2 linked regions of the Coturnix japonica genome follow. The protein of the gene in region 1 binds, or shares a complex with, the protein of each later gene. Links are inferred from orthologs where the notes say so. Each region holds a gene or a part of one and is shown in the gene's direction. Other genes may lie near its edges.

Region 1 (7,919 bases):
TCTGTATCTTTAAATTATTCTCCTGCAATGGGATCGGTTTTCTTCATGCCTCAAAGAAGTGGTATCTAAATCGTTTTAAACTGAAACAGAGACTGAATAAGCTGTGCAAATCATTTTTTACTGGAACCTTAATTACATCCTGCAGTTTCTCGTCCTTAGCAAACTGCTAGGAAAAAAAAAAGTCTGCATTTCATTTGAGAACTAACAGGGCTGAGATTTTGTTTTGTTTTCCTCAATTGACATGTACATAATCTAGCTTGGGACTTTGTTCCACAGCATTTTTGTCAAAGGCTCTAGAGAGCGTGCCTGCAAATACTAAATCTCTCTGAGGTTCGCATTCAATTTGCAAGTTATACAACTCCGGCTAAAGAAAGAGGCATTCTGTTTGCAGCAAGGTGTTTTCCAGATCCCCACTGGCAATGGCAAAAAGTGATTTACGATCAGCTTTAGTTAACGTGGCCTCTCAAACAGGTCTTAAAAAGCCTTCGCAGCCATGGCCTAGTGCCAAAGCCTTTTCCACAAGAATACATCAATTTTAGTTCATACCGGTGCCATACGATGCAACGGCAAAGGCAAATGGTGCAATATTGAATGCATCCCCTCGATGAAGCAAGAGATCCAGCACCTGCTGAATCTACCAGATTTACCATTATGGGTCTGTACATCTTCTTGTTGGCTGTTCACGCAAGGATGACTTAATCCCTTGGCTAGCTGAGGGCTGAGTTAATGATTCCCTTTTCTGGCAGATTCTGTGTGTCATCAGGACTGAACTCTGGGTTCTCCTGCACTTGTTTTGCCCAACCCAATTCAGTAGTTCCAAGTGCCCTATAGAACTGCAAGAGCATTTTTCAGTCTTAGGTTGAAGACTCCAGCCTTTACTGGCTCTCACTCTGGCATGCTTCTCACGCTGTGCTCCAACTGCTGTAATTAGCCTCCTTTGCATAAAGCAACAGAATATTCAATAGCAAACATCCCCAAGCCAGGTACTGCAGATGCAACCAAATTTCCTGAACCATACCAATGAGAGTCCAACATCTCCACGAGGTGTAGTGTTAGAGGACACAGCTTAGAGCCAGAGCAAAAATAAGCTTCATGAGTAGCTTCCTAAAAGCCATGTCCCTTACTAAGGGAAAGCTTGGGCCCAGCCCCGCAAGCATCAACATCAACCACAAGTGTTGAACCTCAGCCACCTGTAGAGGTGGCTTCCTTCCTCCCTTCCAGTCCATTACTCAATGAATTCACAAAACCCAGTACTTTCATTTAGCATAAAAGGATGAACTAAGGGAGAAAGTCCCCTACCAGAACCCTTACACAAGCAAAAAGTAGCAAGAAGAGCCAGATTATAGCTCTGAGAGAAATTCAAGATCTAGAAAACATTTTCTTTAGATCAACCTTATAACCAGCTTAGAGAACTATTCCTTTCCCAAGCAGCCTTCTTTTAACCTATGCTGAATATGTAAAGCAAGGACACCAGAATTACAGCCAAGTGGTTTTCCACTCCAGGCACATGGAACATGATGAAAGTAAATTTGTGGGTGTTTGCACTTGATTTGGCAGAGAAAAACTGAGGGAGGGAATGTGATTGAGGGAAGGTATCAAAGATCAGAGCCAGATGCTCCTTCTCAGAGCTCTGGACTTGTAGGAAATTAAGAAGGTAGAGAAGGTGAGGCAAAGGGTGTGTTTGAAGTGAGAGTCGAGGGGTTCTAAGGTCTACAACCATCCAAGGTGCTTGGGGGAAACTACAGCACATGCCAAAACCACACCATATTGGCCTGAGGTGCTTTCATTACACAAAGCCTGGGAGAGCAGAGACCGTAAATGTAGCTTCAAAAGGAGCTTCATCTTGAAGTCTTAGCTCTCAGGGCCTATTAAACATTTATGTTGACTACCACTCCTACTCTTTGCCTCAGAGAAAGCACCCGAAATAACCTTTGCTACAGAGCAAACTACAACAGTTCTACCAGCTGTGGAACAGACTAGTGGGGAGCTGTGAGAAACAGCCAGAAACAGTGTTGGAACAACAATGCTAATGACTCTATTCAGCAAGCTAGGACAGAAGGAAGAAAATACGACAGGTTTTCTTTAAGCTATCTTCTGTTCACACTTTTTGGGGAATCTTCAGACTAGCCTCTAGTATGGATGTTTGATAACCACAGCTCTAGAAGGGTCAGTGGAAGAAAATGGAAGGAGATTCTGCACAAAAAGACAGAAAGTTTCTGGCATAATCTGGAAAGAAGTAATTACTTCCCTGATTTGCTCAAAAATTCTTTGCCTGGACAACATGAGTTTGGGATGAGGCACAGCTACTCATTCTTTTCATTCTATGAAGCTGTTACTACCAGTAACAGAAACCGCGTAATTCACTCACTCCTCTGTAGTTCAGTCAGAGGACAACTCCAGCTGTACATTCAGAAGGCTGTGCTGACCCTAGCAGCTTCAAAGTCGGTGTTCAAAAAGCCCTTCAAGGTAATTTATTTCAAGGGTTGCACATATACACCTCTAGTCTTTGTACGTGGGAACCCCTGCCCTCCAGTCACAAAATCTACTCCTGATATTAGCATCTACTTCTGGCCTTCCACAGATTCAGCCTACGCATAGCACCCAAGTTTATCAGCTCGATTACATTCAGAAGAACTACTATCCTCCACAATTTTCAACCCTTAGGAAACCCTCACACTCTTCCTCAGCATGTGCTTTTCACCATTGGCCTGCTGTTAAGTAACTATTTCTTTAGTATAACCTACAGGTACCTACAGCCCTTACAGTCTCATGCAGATGAGGCCTTTGTAAGTTTAGGTGTTGGCTCCTGTGGCTAATCACTCAGCCTTTATGCTATAGATACCAGTTTAATTTAAATGTAAGTATACAATTGCTTGAGATGGAACAAACCTTAAAGGCCACACAGTCCAACTTCCCCTGCAATGAACAGGGGCACCGCAGCTCCATCAGGTGCTCTGAGCCCTGTCCAGCCTGACTTTGGGTGTCTCCAGAGATGGGGCACCCACCACCTCTCTGGGCAACCTGTTACAGTGCCTCACTGTTGTTACTGTAATAAACATCTTCCTGGTATCCAGTCTAAATCTTTTTGTTTGAAACCATTTCCCCTTGTCCTAACAGCAAAAGCCCTATTAAATAGCCTGTCCCCTTCCTTCTTACAGTCTACCTTTAGACGTTGAAAGGCTGCTCTCAGGTCTCCCCGCAGCCTTCTCTTCTTGAGGCTGAACAGCCCCAGGTCTCAGCCTGCCCTCATAGGGGAGGGGCTCCATCCCTGGGACCCTCTTTGTGGCTCTGCCCTGGATTCGCTCCAGTAGGTCCATGACTCTCAATGTAACGGCTCCTCCCCACGGCAGTGAGGCCACAGCACCTCTCCCTGGGATCCAAGAGCAGCAAAAGCAGATCTGGACTAGGAAAGACAGCTTAAGACCACATATATACACAGATCCCATGAAGAGCAGGCGGGCTGTTCCACACTCTACCTTAAGAAGATCAAATTCATACAGGAATCAAATTCATACAGGACAGCGTTTGCTTACACCCAACCTTTCTAGAGGTGCAGCGGCGGGAACTACAGCTCCCATCCATCCGCTCAGCAGCACGCACCCCTCCCCTCCCGCCGCCATCTTTGCGGGGCCGCCATCTTTGCTCAGGGAGTCACCGCCCCCCGGCGGCCAGGCGCGCAGGCAGCAGCATGGAGCGGGCGGCGCTGTGGGGGCTGCTGGCCGCCGTTGCTGTGTGGCCTTCGGGAGCGGCGGATGGTGGGTCAGAAGGTGAGTGAAAGAGACGGGCCGTGGGGAACACCACGGGGAAGAGAGCGGCTCTCCCTAGTTGCCTTTTATAGGGCGGCCCAGCACATGTAGGAAGGAGGGGCTGCCAGGCCCAGCCCTCCCCTCAGTCCTCACCTGGGTGTCCCGGCGGTGCTTTCATCACTTAACTGTAGCAATAGAGTCATTTCAGAGATAAAGTCCATGCAGTTCCTTGTAGTTACATAGCGGGATGCAACTAGTGCAGTGCAACAGTTGTGGTTCTCTAATGTGCGCTCAGGGAGCCCGGTTTGGTTTAACAGCCTGCAGGCAGCAAGGCTGTGCTAAAGGAACCGATGTCACTGCTCAGTAGGCAGCGTCAGTGGAGCAGTTATGGGTTGAAGGGTCAGGGTTCTGTCAGCAGGGGAATGGTCAGTGTCAGCCGTGCTCTAGTTCAGCTGTGTGGGCTGAAGTGTGTCCCAGGATCGTGGTGCGTCGCTATTGCCCTGCTGCCAGCTGGAGAAGTGCTGCTCAGCTTCTGCTGATTGCTCTGGTTGTTTAATGAATTAATGCCTTTCACTTTTCCTTTCTGTGTATTTTAGATGCCAAATGGAAAGCAATAACAGATCAAATTAACAGAGCTGTAGAAGTCTATAAGCCATGCGTAAAGGAGAATTGTAGCTGCTACCAAAGGTAAGAGATTAGTTTCCTTTTTACTGAACAGGGCTATGGTCATGATCACAGCACTGATAGATGGGAGTTAGCTGTAGAATATGTGTGCTCTAATGTAGCACATCTGCAGCCAACATAGGTTGCAGTGCTTACAAGGAGTTTATTAATGGCATTGTGTGAAACTTTCATAGTTCCAGCATGAGTTGTGTCCACCTGCAGATTGACCACCGTGCTTGTTGTCCTCTGTGACTGAACAACATAAACTGAGTCAGCATCTCATACGTAATCACACAATAATTCCATACACAGCTGGTGATATTTCTGTATTAGAAATCCACTCTGCATTCACCCTCTGTACAATATTTGTTGCTAACAGGTTTATCTGATGGACTTTTAAAACTGAGGGAAATAAATATATGTAAATATTTAAAAGAGGATTAAGAAGGATAATTACAGAACATGGATTTATTTGGCATGATGCTATGTGGTACTTGCTAACTTGTGGAACACTTGTATACCATAGTGACAGACATTACTAAAGAGTCCAGAAAGATAATACAGTACCTACACTGTATGACACTAAGAAACTCAGCTCATTTTGATAGCTGATCTGGAGAGATGCAAATGTGCAGCAGAATAGTGAAAGCCAGTCCCTTTCCTTAGATAATGGATTTTACTTGTGTCAGATTTTCTCTGGGTGGCCAAGAACTGAAAATTCTAGCCTGTTATTGACAATAGAAAGGTAGCAAACAGCAACGTGGATGCGCTATAAAACTCTTTCTTCCCGTTCTCCAGCTTGTTACATTTGCATCCCTGCTTATATACTTTGTCAACCTATCTGTACTGTAGCAATTCTTGATGTAGTTTACATTTTTCTGTCTGATACAGAATAACAGAATCATTGACCTCGGAGGGGACCTTTTGAGATCAAGAAATCCAACCTCCCTGTTCAAGCAGGGCCACCTAAAGCAAATGGACAGGATGGTGTCCAGTCAGACCAGAGACCCCACTACTTCTCTGGGCAGTCTGTGCCAGTGTTTTATCACTCACACATTTGGTTCATCCCCTTCAGATGGGTCTGTGCATTAAACCAGGCCATTGATGCAATGTCTACTAAAAAGTAGAGGGGAACTCTCCATGGCTGTTACCGTCTGAGAACAATTGTTAACTGCTCCAAGCAGTTGGATCTGGGGGTCTTTAGACTATATATAAACTGCATTCTCTGTCTGTATTTTAACATATCGGTTAGGTTTATGTTTTCTATTTTCTATTTCTACTATATTCTAGGAGCTCACCAATGACATGCAGATATCACAGAATACAGTCTATATAGGCTTGTTCTCCTGGACTAGCTTTTACTGTATGCAGCATTACCCAGTAATCCTTGTGACTAGACTGTTACTTACTTTTTTTATAAATTTTAAAATTGACATTTAGTGAGGAATTTGGTCTTGGTGTAGCCCACCATTATTGGAAATCCAGAACACAAGCTTCAGAACTCAAAGTTTAAGTGAACTGAAAGCTTTTATCCATAACCTGTCAGGGTGTTTAATGCCTATTTGTTTTTTGGAAGAATAACTGCAGTGAACCACATTGATTTAGTTTGAGAGTCCGGTGCTGGGTTTTCTGTTCAGGCAAACAGCACATAGATCATCACAGAGCAAAGCTGGGACTTTGGAGTCTCAGAGTAGTGGCTGTTTCAGTTGACTTAAGTTGAATCCTCTGTTATGCCATGTGTAGCAGAGCTGGAAGCCACATAAAGTTTGTTGTAACTAGAAACCTTTTCTGTATGCTGCAGTACTTTAATGTGCAGCATCCCCCAATGTACCTAATGATGGCTAATTGTTTTGTTTCAGTGTCTGGAAACAGGACCTGGCTCCTTTTCGAAGTGGCATTTCCAAGGAGACAATATCAGATGTGGTAAGCCGGAAGCTTGGAACACACTACCAAATCATTAAGAACAAGCTGTACCGTGAACATGACTGCATGTTCCCTGCAAGGTAAGAGCCACACAGAAGATCCTGCTTCCATACCTGGCACATAGGAATACTTCCAGTACTTCTAACCCTGATGAATTGGAAGTCATTGAGCACAATGGTATGTCATTTTAAGGTCTGGATTCCTTATCAGGACAGGAGCCTAGGAAATTATATATGAGGATTAAACATAGGCAAGAAATAAGAATCACTGTTGCACTTCTGTATAAGAAGGCTAGTTGATTGTGGGATCCCAGAGAAATATGCAGATCAAGTCAGGTTTAACAGAATGTGTTGCTTCACTGGTGTCTGCAGTGAGACTTAAAGGCTGCTATGGGCAGTTGCAGCCTGTGCTACGGCTTTCTGTTTCTTCTGCTCCTATGCATAGAGATATCTGCAACATACTCCAGGATTCTTCCTTATCCTTATGGCTCTTTATGAGATGTGTCATTTCTCCACAGATGCAGTGGAGTTGAGCATTTCATTCATGGGATCATCAACCGCCTCCCTGATATGGAAATGGTGATAAACGTGAGAGACTACCCCCAGGTCCCCAAGTGGATGAAACCCATTATCCCAGTCTTCTCTTTCAGTAAGGTATGCACACTTTTAAAAGCATTTCTGAAACGTGCATGTCCTCCTTTCTCTTGCTGACATATGTTTGAGGATGGTTCCCCACAGCTTTCCTGTGTGTCAAAACTGTTCTTTTTTCTTCTTTCTACTTCAATTTTTCTAGTAGACAGACTTGCAGATTCATTTAATAGAACAGCTTTTCTCCTCATTAGCTCCTCTTCCAAGTCAAAAAGAGTACCTCTACCACAGTGGAATGATGCACAGCTGGATGGGATATGTGCCAATATCACTGTGATGTGCTACAATGCCTCTGTTAAAATTGCAGCCATAGCTTGTCAGCACTGTTAAGGATTTTTCATCATCAGCCAGCTCAGTCAATATGAATATTTCAGTTCTCTGTTTCGTACCACAGATAAGTGTTTCTTTTTTTTTTTCCCCGTATTAACATTGTCTAGTTGGAATAATACAAGTCTATAGATGTAATTAAAGAGTAAATAGCCAGAGGGTATCTAAGAAAAAGACTCACCAGTGCTGAGGTTTTCAGTTGAGATGGATGCTCACCAATGTTGAGGCTCACCACAAGAACTCCAGAAAGAGATGCTACCTTAGTGGTGGTCAGCCCTTAAATGGGATCTAGGAGAGGTGGAGTCAAGCTCCACCCCATCCGGGAGCACAGCTGAATTACCTTCACCTGTGCTCCCACAGCTGAGTCGTCACTTGCCTCAGATGGTTAATCAGAGGTTCAGACTGTGATCAACAGTTTCCCTTACAAACGCTGTCTACTGTGAACCCCTTTCCTGTGGATTCTTCTTTCCATTTCCAAATGTGCACACACATGGAGCCAGACACACACACACATTTGCTTTCTGGTTCCCTGTTCTCACACTGGAAAGCCCCCTTGCACATTTTCTTGCTTTTCCATTGTTAAATCTAATTGTAGGATAGTGTCTTATCATTG
Region 2 (7,920 bases), on another chromosome or scaffold:
TTGTTTTTTCCAGCCCCTGGAGACATGAAAATGATGTACAGATGTGCGTTACCTGTTGGTGTTTGCACGCCGTTTTTGCTCTGTGGATGTAATTTTCTTAGCTTGCAGTAACATAAAAAAAAAGAAGAAGAAAAGAATCTTCCCAGAGTTTCGCTCGTTTAATTTGGACTTATTAAAACTTTGAAACATGTGCGGAGGTTTCGGGTTATTTTTTTTTTACATCACTAATCACATGGATGAGAGCCAAGGTTTCTATTAAAGGCTTTTATGAACGTTGGTTTTAAAAGGCACTGAAACCCCCCTGTTGCATTTAACCCCTAAAACTGCTCCAACTGAGACTTGCTCTGGGTTGATGTCACATCCACCTCCCAGTGCAAAAATAGGTGTGTGGGGTTCTGCCTCCTTCCTTCATCCTTCTTTCCTCTCTGCTGCAGGAGTCCCTGCAGGAGCGGTGGGTTGGCAATGGGGCAGCACAGAGATGGCTCAGGGTGCAGCTGGAGCTGGCACAGAAAGGCACCAGGGCCACAAAACTGCATGTATTCAGACTGGGTCTGAATGCTCTGGGTCTGCACTGGGCAGCTTGGGATGATGGCCTGGGTTGGGTCCTGTCCTGTGCCATCACCCCAAGGCACCCGGTGCTGCCACTCCATCCATGCACAGAGGCCAGTGCCACCTCCCCACTGTTCCCAGTTTGGCACATGGCACAGTGGGGACCACAGTGGCCACCTGCCCGTGGGCATTTCTGTATATGTAAGGAATGAAGCACAGCACAGTGAGAGGTTCTGTGTGAGGAGAACAAGCCCGGGCAAAGCAAGGTTAGTGCAGCAGGAGGGAGAAAGGGGTGAGATGGGGGAGCAGGGCACAGATCCCCATCACCAAAGGGTGGTGGAACCTCCAGGGGCCACTTCACATCACCAATGGAATTGGCACAGTCTGTTGGCACAGAGATATCGCTTGGCTAGAGCAGGGGTAAGGGCTGCATCCCACTGCACAGCCACTGCAGGGGGTGAGATGGGGGCACCCACTTCCCAAAGGTGCAAAAGGTCTGTGCAGGTGGGCACTACAGCAAATTCCTGCACTGTTTGGCATCTGCTTACCCTGCCCCCGTCCTGCAGCAGTGCAGCAAAGCAAAATGCGTGGCCCTGGGACGCTCTGAAGTCCTACACAGCTCCCAGCATCATCACCCAGCCCCCATGGCCCCACACACCCCCCCACAGCCCCCAGTGGGCACCCCAGAGCCCGGCCTGTTCTCATGTGGGAAGAAGGGGAAGGAGCAGAACGAGGGAACGCTGCAGGGCTTGTGGCTTTGATCTAATGAGCAGACTCTGCCCTTCGGTTTGTTTAATCGTTTCACACTTGCTCTGGAAATAATTTACAGCAGGAAGCAGTGGGATAACACCATGGCATGGGCTGGGATGAACACAGTGCTGGCGTGGGGGTGCCCTTCAATAGGGGAGGAGAGAGGGGGGGCACAGGTGGGACAGCACCTCACCATCAGCCCAGCACCGACCCCTCTGCTTCTTCTTCTTCTAGTACTTGGCGTCCCACACATCCCCACACACAAACAGGAGTTTCAAGCCTCGATTCTGGTTGCTCAAGTCAAAGCCTGGTTCCAATTTGCTGCCACTGCTGAGATGCGATGGGAATCATGCACACTGCATGGGGTGACCCCGTGGGGGGGAGCAGTGCTGGCAGCACAGGGGGCTGCCCCCAGGCCCAGAACGCAATTGGGTTTTGGGTGGGACGTGCCCATACTCCCATCCTGAAGGATCCAGGGCAGTGTTGGATGCTGGAGGTGGGGGCAATGGGACCTGCACACAGACCGGAGCTCATAGGGCTGCATGGCAGGGTTGGCTGCTCGTCTCCCCTCGTGCATTTGTTTGTTTGTTTGCTGCTGCAGCACATGGGCTGGGCTCTGCCCTGAGTGCAGGAGCTCACAGGGCAACACAGCAGCACCCCTGCACTGGGTCAGTGGTGTGGTGCACTGTGTTGGGGGGAATCTCACCCCAGTTGGGGTCCTGAGCAGCAGCTGCGACCCACTGGGCAGGGGGGGCTGAACCAGAGCTGTAGGGAGTTGTGTAAGGGCCTGGGATGGGGCTGCACAGGGGTGGGGGGCTCTACTGGGACTGAGGGGATGGGTTGCACCGGGGGTATGCAGGGACTGCATGGGGGGAGCTACATGGTCGCTGCACTAGGGTGTCTGGGGCTGCTTGGAGAGCCCGAAGCTGTTTGGGGTCTATACAGGAGTTACACGGAGGGGCTGTATAGCGGGTCCAGGGCTGATTGTGAGGGGTACACGGAGGGGCTCCATAAGTGTGTCAGAGCTGCACCGGGACTACCCAGGGGCTGCAAAGCAGCGCTCGGAGCTGCAAGGAGCCATGGATGTGTATACAGAACTATCCGGGACCGCACCGGAGCCGCGGGGACGACCGCACTGCAGCGTCCGGAGCTGCTTTGTGGCCGTGGGGAGGGTGGGCTCAGGGTGGGCTCCCAGCGCTGCCCCCCACGCCGTGCAGGGAGGGGCGTCCCGCTCCGTCCCATCCCGCTCCGCTCCTCGCCGTCCCGCCCCGCTCCGTCCCGCCCCCCCTCCGCCCTCCGCCCGGCCCGGCCCGGCCCGCGGGGGCTGAGCGGCCGCGGGAGGCGCCGGCGCTCGGAGTCGTTTCTCTCGGCGTTTGGGGCGCGGTGTGTTCGGGGCTCCCGGCTCGCGCCGCACGGCTCCGGTTCCGTTCGGTTCCGCTCGGTTCGAGCCGGTTCGGCCGGCGGCCTCCGGATCTATGCGGCTGTGAGCGGTGGGAACACAGAGGGATGAAACGGCTCTTGGCCACCGGGCTCCTGCTGGCCCTGCTGCCCGCTCCGACGCGAGGTGAGGGCCCCGGCCCGGCTCCGGCACGAAGTTTGCCGGCAGCTCGGCTCGGAGCGGCGGGGCGAGGCGGTGCTTCCATCGGAGGCGGCGGGGGGTCCGAGGGAAGCGGAGCGTGGAGCCGCCGGGAGGGTCCGGAACTCGGGAGTGCAGCGGGGGGAGCGGAGCGGGCTGAGAAACGGGGACGGAACTTTGGAGTTCGGCACCGCGGGGCCCGGGCGGCCGGAACCGACGGGGGGGAACCGGGATCGGTGCAGCGGGGATTCCGCGGGGAGCGGAGCCGTCGGGGCTGCGGGCGGGCAGAGCTACCGGTACCGCTCGGGGTCGCGGTACCGGCCGTCGGGGGTGCCCAGAACTCGGTGTTAAGGGCGGTGGGGGTCGCGGTGTTCGGTTCTGAGGGTTGTGAGGGGTCTCGGAGCTCGGTACTGAGCACTGCGGGGGTGTCCCTGTGCTCGGCCCCGAGTGCTGTGTGTGTCCCGGAGCTCGGGACGGGGTTCGGCTCCACGGAGTCTCACGCATTGGCCGCTCTCGTGTTGTTGTTCCGCGAGAGTTTTTTGACCGTTTTGCAAATTTTTTCTCGGTTTCCTGTTTCTTGAAAGTCAACCGGGTGCCCCTCGGCCCCCCTTCCTTAACTCCCCCCCCCCCCTCCCCCCCCCCCCCCCCCCTTCCCTCCCTCCACCTCCTCCCCGGCATCGGCCCCGGGGCGGATCCGTGTGCGGGGCCGCAACGTGCGGAGCTGCCGTCGGGGCCGGAGGGGGGAGGTGGGCAGTGGAGCCGCCCCGACGGACCGAGTAGAGCTGGAGCCTCTCGGGACGCTGTTTGTAGGGGCAGAACGCGGCCCGTCCGCCGGGGCTGATGGGGACGCTCCGCTGCCGTCGGGGGGAGGTGGGGTTTGGGTTGCGACGCTGCGTTCACTCAGTGTGAAACTGCTTTGACTGCACCGAGAGCGGCAGAAGAAGGGGAAGAGTGAAGCGGGGTGGAAATCGGAAGCGATTCTAGTACTTTTCAGCGAGTTGCTGTAGTAACTGAGCAGAATCCGGCTCCGAGGGCCAGACAATGAAACCTTTACTCATAGCAAGTTGTGCCGAGCGACTCATTTCGGGACTGAGCTCGTGGCGACCCACGGGCCCTGCAGGCAGATGGTTTTTCCCAAGTGCTATTTGTCACTCAAATACCCGACCCGGAGCTTCTCCCCATCCACCCTCCTGCTTTAACAGGCAGAGCCCACCCCCAGGACCACCCCAGGTTAACTTTAGGTCGCCCCTTTCCTCTTGGGGCAGTGTAGTCCTGCCCATTAACGTGGTCCCTGTGAGGCCATCCCTGCAGTGGGGTGCAGACCCCCGGGCTCTGTGCTGTGCCTGATGCTCTCCTTCTATTCACAGGTGTGCGGTGTACACAACTGGCTGAATCCTGCCTCAACGGGGGCAAGTGTGAAACTTTCCTCAATGGGACGGAGGTGTGCCAGTAAGTATGGAGGAGCAGAAGGATTTCCATCTCCCTCAGCCGAAGCATTGACGTGCCTGTTGACTTTGCTTTGAAGGCTTTGGATTTAATAGGGCGAAATGCGTTTTCTTTCCTTGAGTGGCAAGAATAACCTGCTCCGGTGTAGGAGTCGCCGCGGGTTTGGCAGGATCAGGCTTTGTTCCTGGCTGGGTGGAAAAACATGGGCAGAGGGCCACGTTTGGCTGGTGTTAACCCATCAGAGTGCCCCACTGATGGAGCAGGAGGGAGGGACAACGGGGGGTGGGAGGGCTGTCTGTCTATCTTCCAACCCCCCCCCCCCTTCCTGGCCCCATTGCGTTGTCCTTCATTCCCTGGCAGCTGGTGCTGCAGTATCCAGGGCATCTCCCATAAGCATCCAAGGGTGGCTGTGTTGTGTGGGTGTCTGTCTGTGGGGCAGTGCCACGCTGCCATCCGTGCCCACTCCTGGCATGGGGTGTTCTCAAGGCTGATGGTGGGGAAGCGGATGTGTAAAGCCTTGGGTCCCTTTGAAGGACCACCCGACCCACCGCAGCGATGGCCGATTCAGTCTGGGCTCCCAGGGAACAATAACCCAGAGAAATGAATAAGAGTGCAGTTCCCTTTTTAAAACTATTCCATAAAAGAAATCTGAATGGGCAAGGCTCTGCTTTCCGGCCAGATTTCCCCTTTGCCTGTTAAACACGGGTTGAGCTGAGAGCGGGCTGGGAGACGTTCCCACCCACCCCAAGTTTCCCAATAGGAAGTTCTCGGCGGAGGAACCCAAAGGCATTTCCAACCCCGACCTGTTGAATGGCACTTCTCCTTGACAATGCCTGCTGCTTTTCTGTGCCTCTGGGTACCGTTACTCTGCCCGCAGCGCCTGGGCAGCCCCCACCCCCCTCCTCCAAACGGAGCCCCCCAAAGCCTTTGGTGAAAATAAATCAGCAAATCAATCAGGCACATGAGCAATTTAATGGACAAAGGCTGGGTCCCTTTGTGAGCCACTAATGAATGCACGCCACTTTTTTTTCTGCACAGAAGCCCTTACCAACGCGTGACGCTCTAAATCTTGTTTTCTTTCATTCAAAGAACGACAGCTGGGATTCGGTCGAAATTCGGCAGCTATTGTTAAGGGAGGCAGATTAATGCTGTGTGACTAATCATGTATGGCTTCCCAGAATGCCCAACCCTCCGCCCCCTCCCCAACCTTACACCCCTCCTTTTCCTTGTGGTCATTCTTTCCTTCTTTTTTTTTCTTCCCCCCCCCCCCTTAAGTCTCTGCAACTCCTGATTTACATTTCATGTGCAGATGGTGATGGAATCTAATTAGGTCTGATGCGTGCGAGCTCCGTTTTGGGGGTGAAGCCTCCAGAGTAGCTCGGGTTGCTGGGTTTACAGGAGATAAAGTTAACTTTGGGGAATTCTATCACTGGGAACTATGAACAGCCTGGCTGCGGGCACCAGCTTTGCAAGTCTATGTGAGCTCATTTTGCAGTAAGCTGAGGGGTTGGATGGGGGGGATATTAAGGACGCTGGGCAAGGTGCAGCTTTCCCAGGTGCCCAGCAGCAGCCTGCAAAGTGCTCTTTTCCACTTGTTTGAGTATCTCTTCACCAGGAGCTCCGCTTCCAAGCTCCTCAAACAAAGCGAAGCCAGCGGCGCAGATAGCACTGCAGGAAGGCTGGCACTGCCCCTGGCGCCGGCATGCAATGCCCTGTGCTGGCTGCTGGCCACCTCTCTGCTCGGCCTGGCACTTCACTGACTCCATCCATAAAGCCCCATTGTGCCGTCCCCACAAATCCAATTAGAAAGCAGAGTGAAATGAATCGCGGCCGAGCGGGACGCTGCTCGAGTGGCTGCGCGGGGCAGAGCCGGCTCTGATAACTGCACACCCCCATTATCAGCCCTGTTATGGAAAGGAAACCACCAGTGTGCAGTGAGGAGCACTCTAAGCCTTTATTATTTCCCAGTGGTGTGGGGTGTGCAGCTCCCAGTGCCTTATCTTGCTTGTCCTGGCTGGGATGTGGGGCTCCCACTGATTTGAGCACTGCAGGGCTGTGCCTGAGCCCCTTAGAGCTGCCTTCCCCCCCTTGGCAGAGCAGTGGTGCAGTTTTGGGGTGCCTCACCCCACACATAGCATTGGCACAGACCCACAGCCTCCAGGGGTCTGGCCTTGGGGATGGGCTTGGCAGCCACAGTGCTCCCAGCGTGGTTTTGTGGTGCTGCTTGGCACGGTTGCACTCTCCTCTGACTGAGACGTTTTCCCAGACAAAATGAGAAGGGATTCCAAAACGAAATCATCCACATTTATAGCGGTAACTACTAATTACACTGCTGGATCACTGTCTCTGCCCGGCATCCCCACAATGAATGGGGCTGATTTTAGGCTGCTGTGCCACATGAGTGTCGTTCCCAGGGCCTCCCTTGCTGCAGCAGGTAGAAGCAGTTGGCATGGGAGGGGGCTGCCTTTCCAGCCCTGCCCCTGCAGCATCACTTCCCACTTGCTTTATCCTGCAAGCATTGCCCTGTTCAAGTCAGCAGAGGGTCTGGGTCAGCACTGCTGTTCAGAGGAGCAAAACTGCGGAGGAAAAGAGTAAGAGAGTAAGAGTAAGTAAGAGAGTAAGAGTAAGTAAGTTGCTTGCACTGGAAAAGGAGAAAAATGGGTTTGCCAGAGAGCTGCTTCTGCTGGCAGAGATTGTGCTGGGCACACTGAGTGCAGCAAGAGAAGCACTCAGAGAGGACCACAGCAGCAAGAGATGACTTACTGAGCTCTGAACCCTCACTGCAACCACGCAGGAAGGCTGAGGAGTGATGCAAACCCCGCAGCACGCTGTGCCCTCCGAGTCACTGACTGCTCAGTCATTGTTATCTCACTGCAAAGGGCGGAAGTTTCCTTCTGCTTTGGGGTTGGTTTTTTTTTCATTGGGGTTTTTGTGTTGTTTTTTTTTTTCTCTTTCGTGTGCTTTAAAACCCGACGTTATTTCCATGAAATAATAAGCAAGAAAATAAAACCCGCCGTCTCCGTGTTGGAGAGGAAGAGGGTGGAGTGCTGAACAATCAGGCAGAGGAAGCCCTGAGAGCAGCAGAGGAGAGGTGATTCAGCCATGGGGAGAGCTCTCTGCAGCCTGGGAATGGGTAAGAGGGGAGACTGGAGCACGGAGCATCACCTGCTGCACTTCTAACTGAGGAAGCTCATTGCTGGGACGGCTGTGTTTTGGCTCTTCTAGAAGGATCTGCCTGCATCTCTCTATGGCATCTCTGTGGTTATCGCTGACTCAGGTGGTGTCGCCAACCCCGTAACTCGCTTTGTGGTCTGAGTAGTTTGCTGATTTCTGCTTGTGACAAACTTTGTGTTGGTCTGGAGTCTCTGTGCTGGCTGCAATTCCCTGCATTCCGTATGGTTGTTCCCTGCAGGACCCATTAGTTCCAGCCCAGGTCCCACCTCCAGGGTGCTGATGGTTTATTGTATGCAGCATGTAGCTGACACGTATCTATGACCATACAGCCAAGCTGTTCCCCAATTAAGGGCAGTTAGCAAGGTTTAAAATAACATTGTTTGGAAATCAACTCGCTCTTTCCAGGCCTGGAGGTGTGGTGACCC

Evidence for each region.
Region 2: the proteins of POGLUT1 (region 1) and NOTCH1 are in contact, whole or in part, in a crystal structure (PDB 5UB5), measured with the Homo sapiens proteins. The link is inferred for Coturnix japonica from reciprocal best matches to the Homo sapiens genes POGLUT1 and NOTCH1. Residues at the interface, in NP_689518.1 of Homo sapiens: Met103, Phe104, Pro105, Ser106, Arg107, Asp133, Gly170, Pro171, Ala172, Val173, Trp174, Pro178, Thr179, Gly180, Thr214, Asn239, Gln240, Ala241, Val274; in NP_060087.3 of Homo sapiens: Asn454, Glu455, Cys456, Val457, Asn459, Pro460, Cys461, Gln462, Asn463, Asp464, Ala465, Cys467, Gly472, Glu473, Phe474, Val485, His486.

Annotation. Positions count from the first base shown.
Region 1 is NC_029516.1:82,806,793-82,814,711, reverse strand, and holds the start of POGLUT1 (protein O-glucosyltransferase 1), read left to right. Parts: upstream 1-3,561; 5' UTR 3,562-3,688; coding exon 3,689-3,767; intron 3,768-3,899; exon of another isoform or gene 3,900-4,342; coding exon 4,343-4,433; intron 4,434-6,268; coding exon 6,269-6,412; intron 6,413-6,849; coding exon 6,850-6,985; intron 6,986-7,919. UniProt on the Homo sapiens protein: Dual specificity glycosyltransferase that catalyzes the transfer of glucose and xylose from UDP-glucose and UDP-xylose, respectively, to a serine residue found in the consensus sequence of C-X-S-X-P-C.
Region 2 is NC_029532.1:6,302,186-6,310,105, forward strand, and holds the start of NOTCH1 (neurogenic locus notch homolog protein 1), read left to right. Parts: upstream 1-2,598; 5' UTR 2,599-2,805; coding exon 2,806-2,863; intron 2,864-4,242; coding exon 4,243-4,324; intron 4,325-7,920. UniProt on the Homo sapiens protein: Functions as a receptor for membrane-bound ligands Jagged-1 (JAG1), Jagged-2 (JAG2) and Delta-1 (DLL1) to regulate cell-fate determination.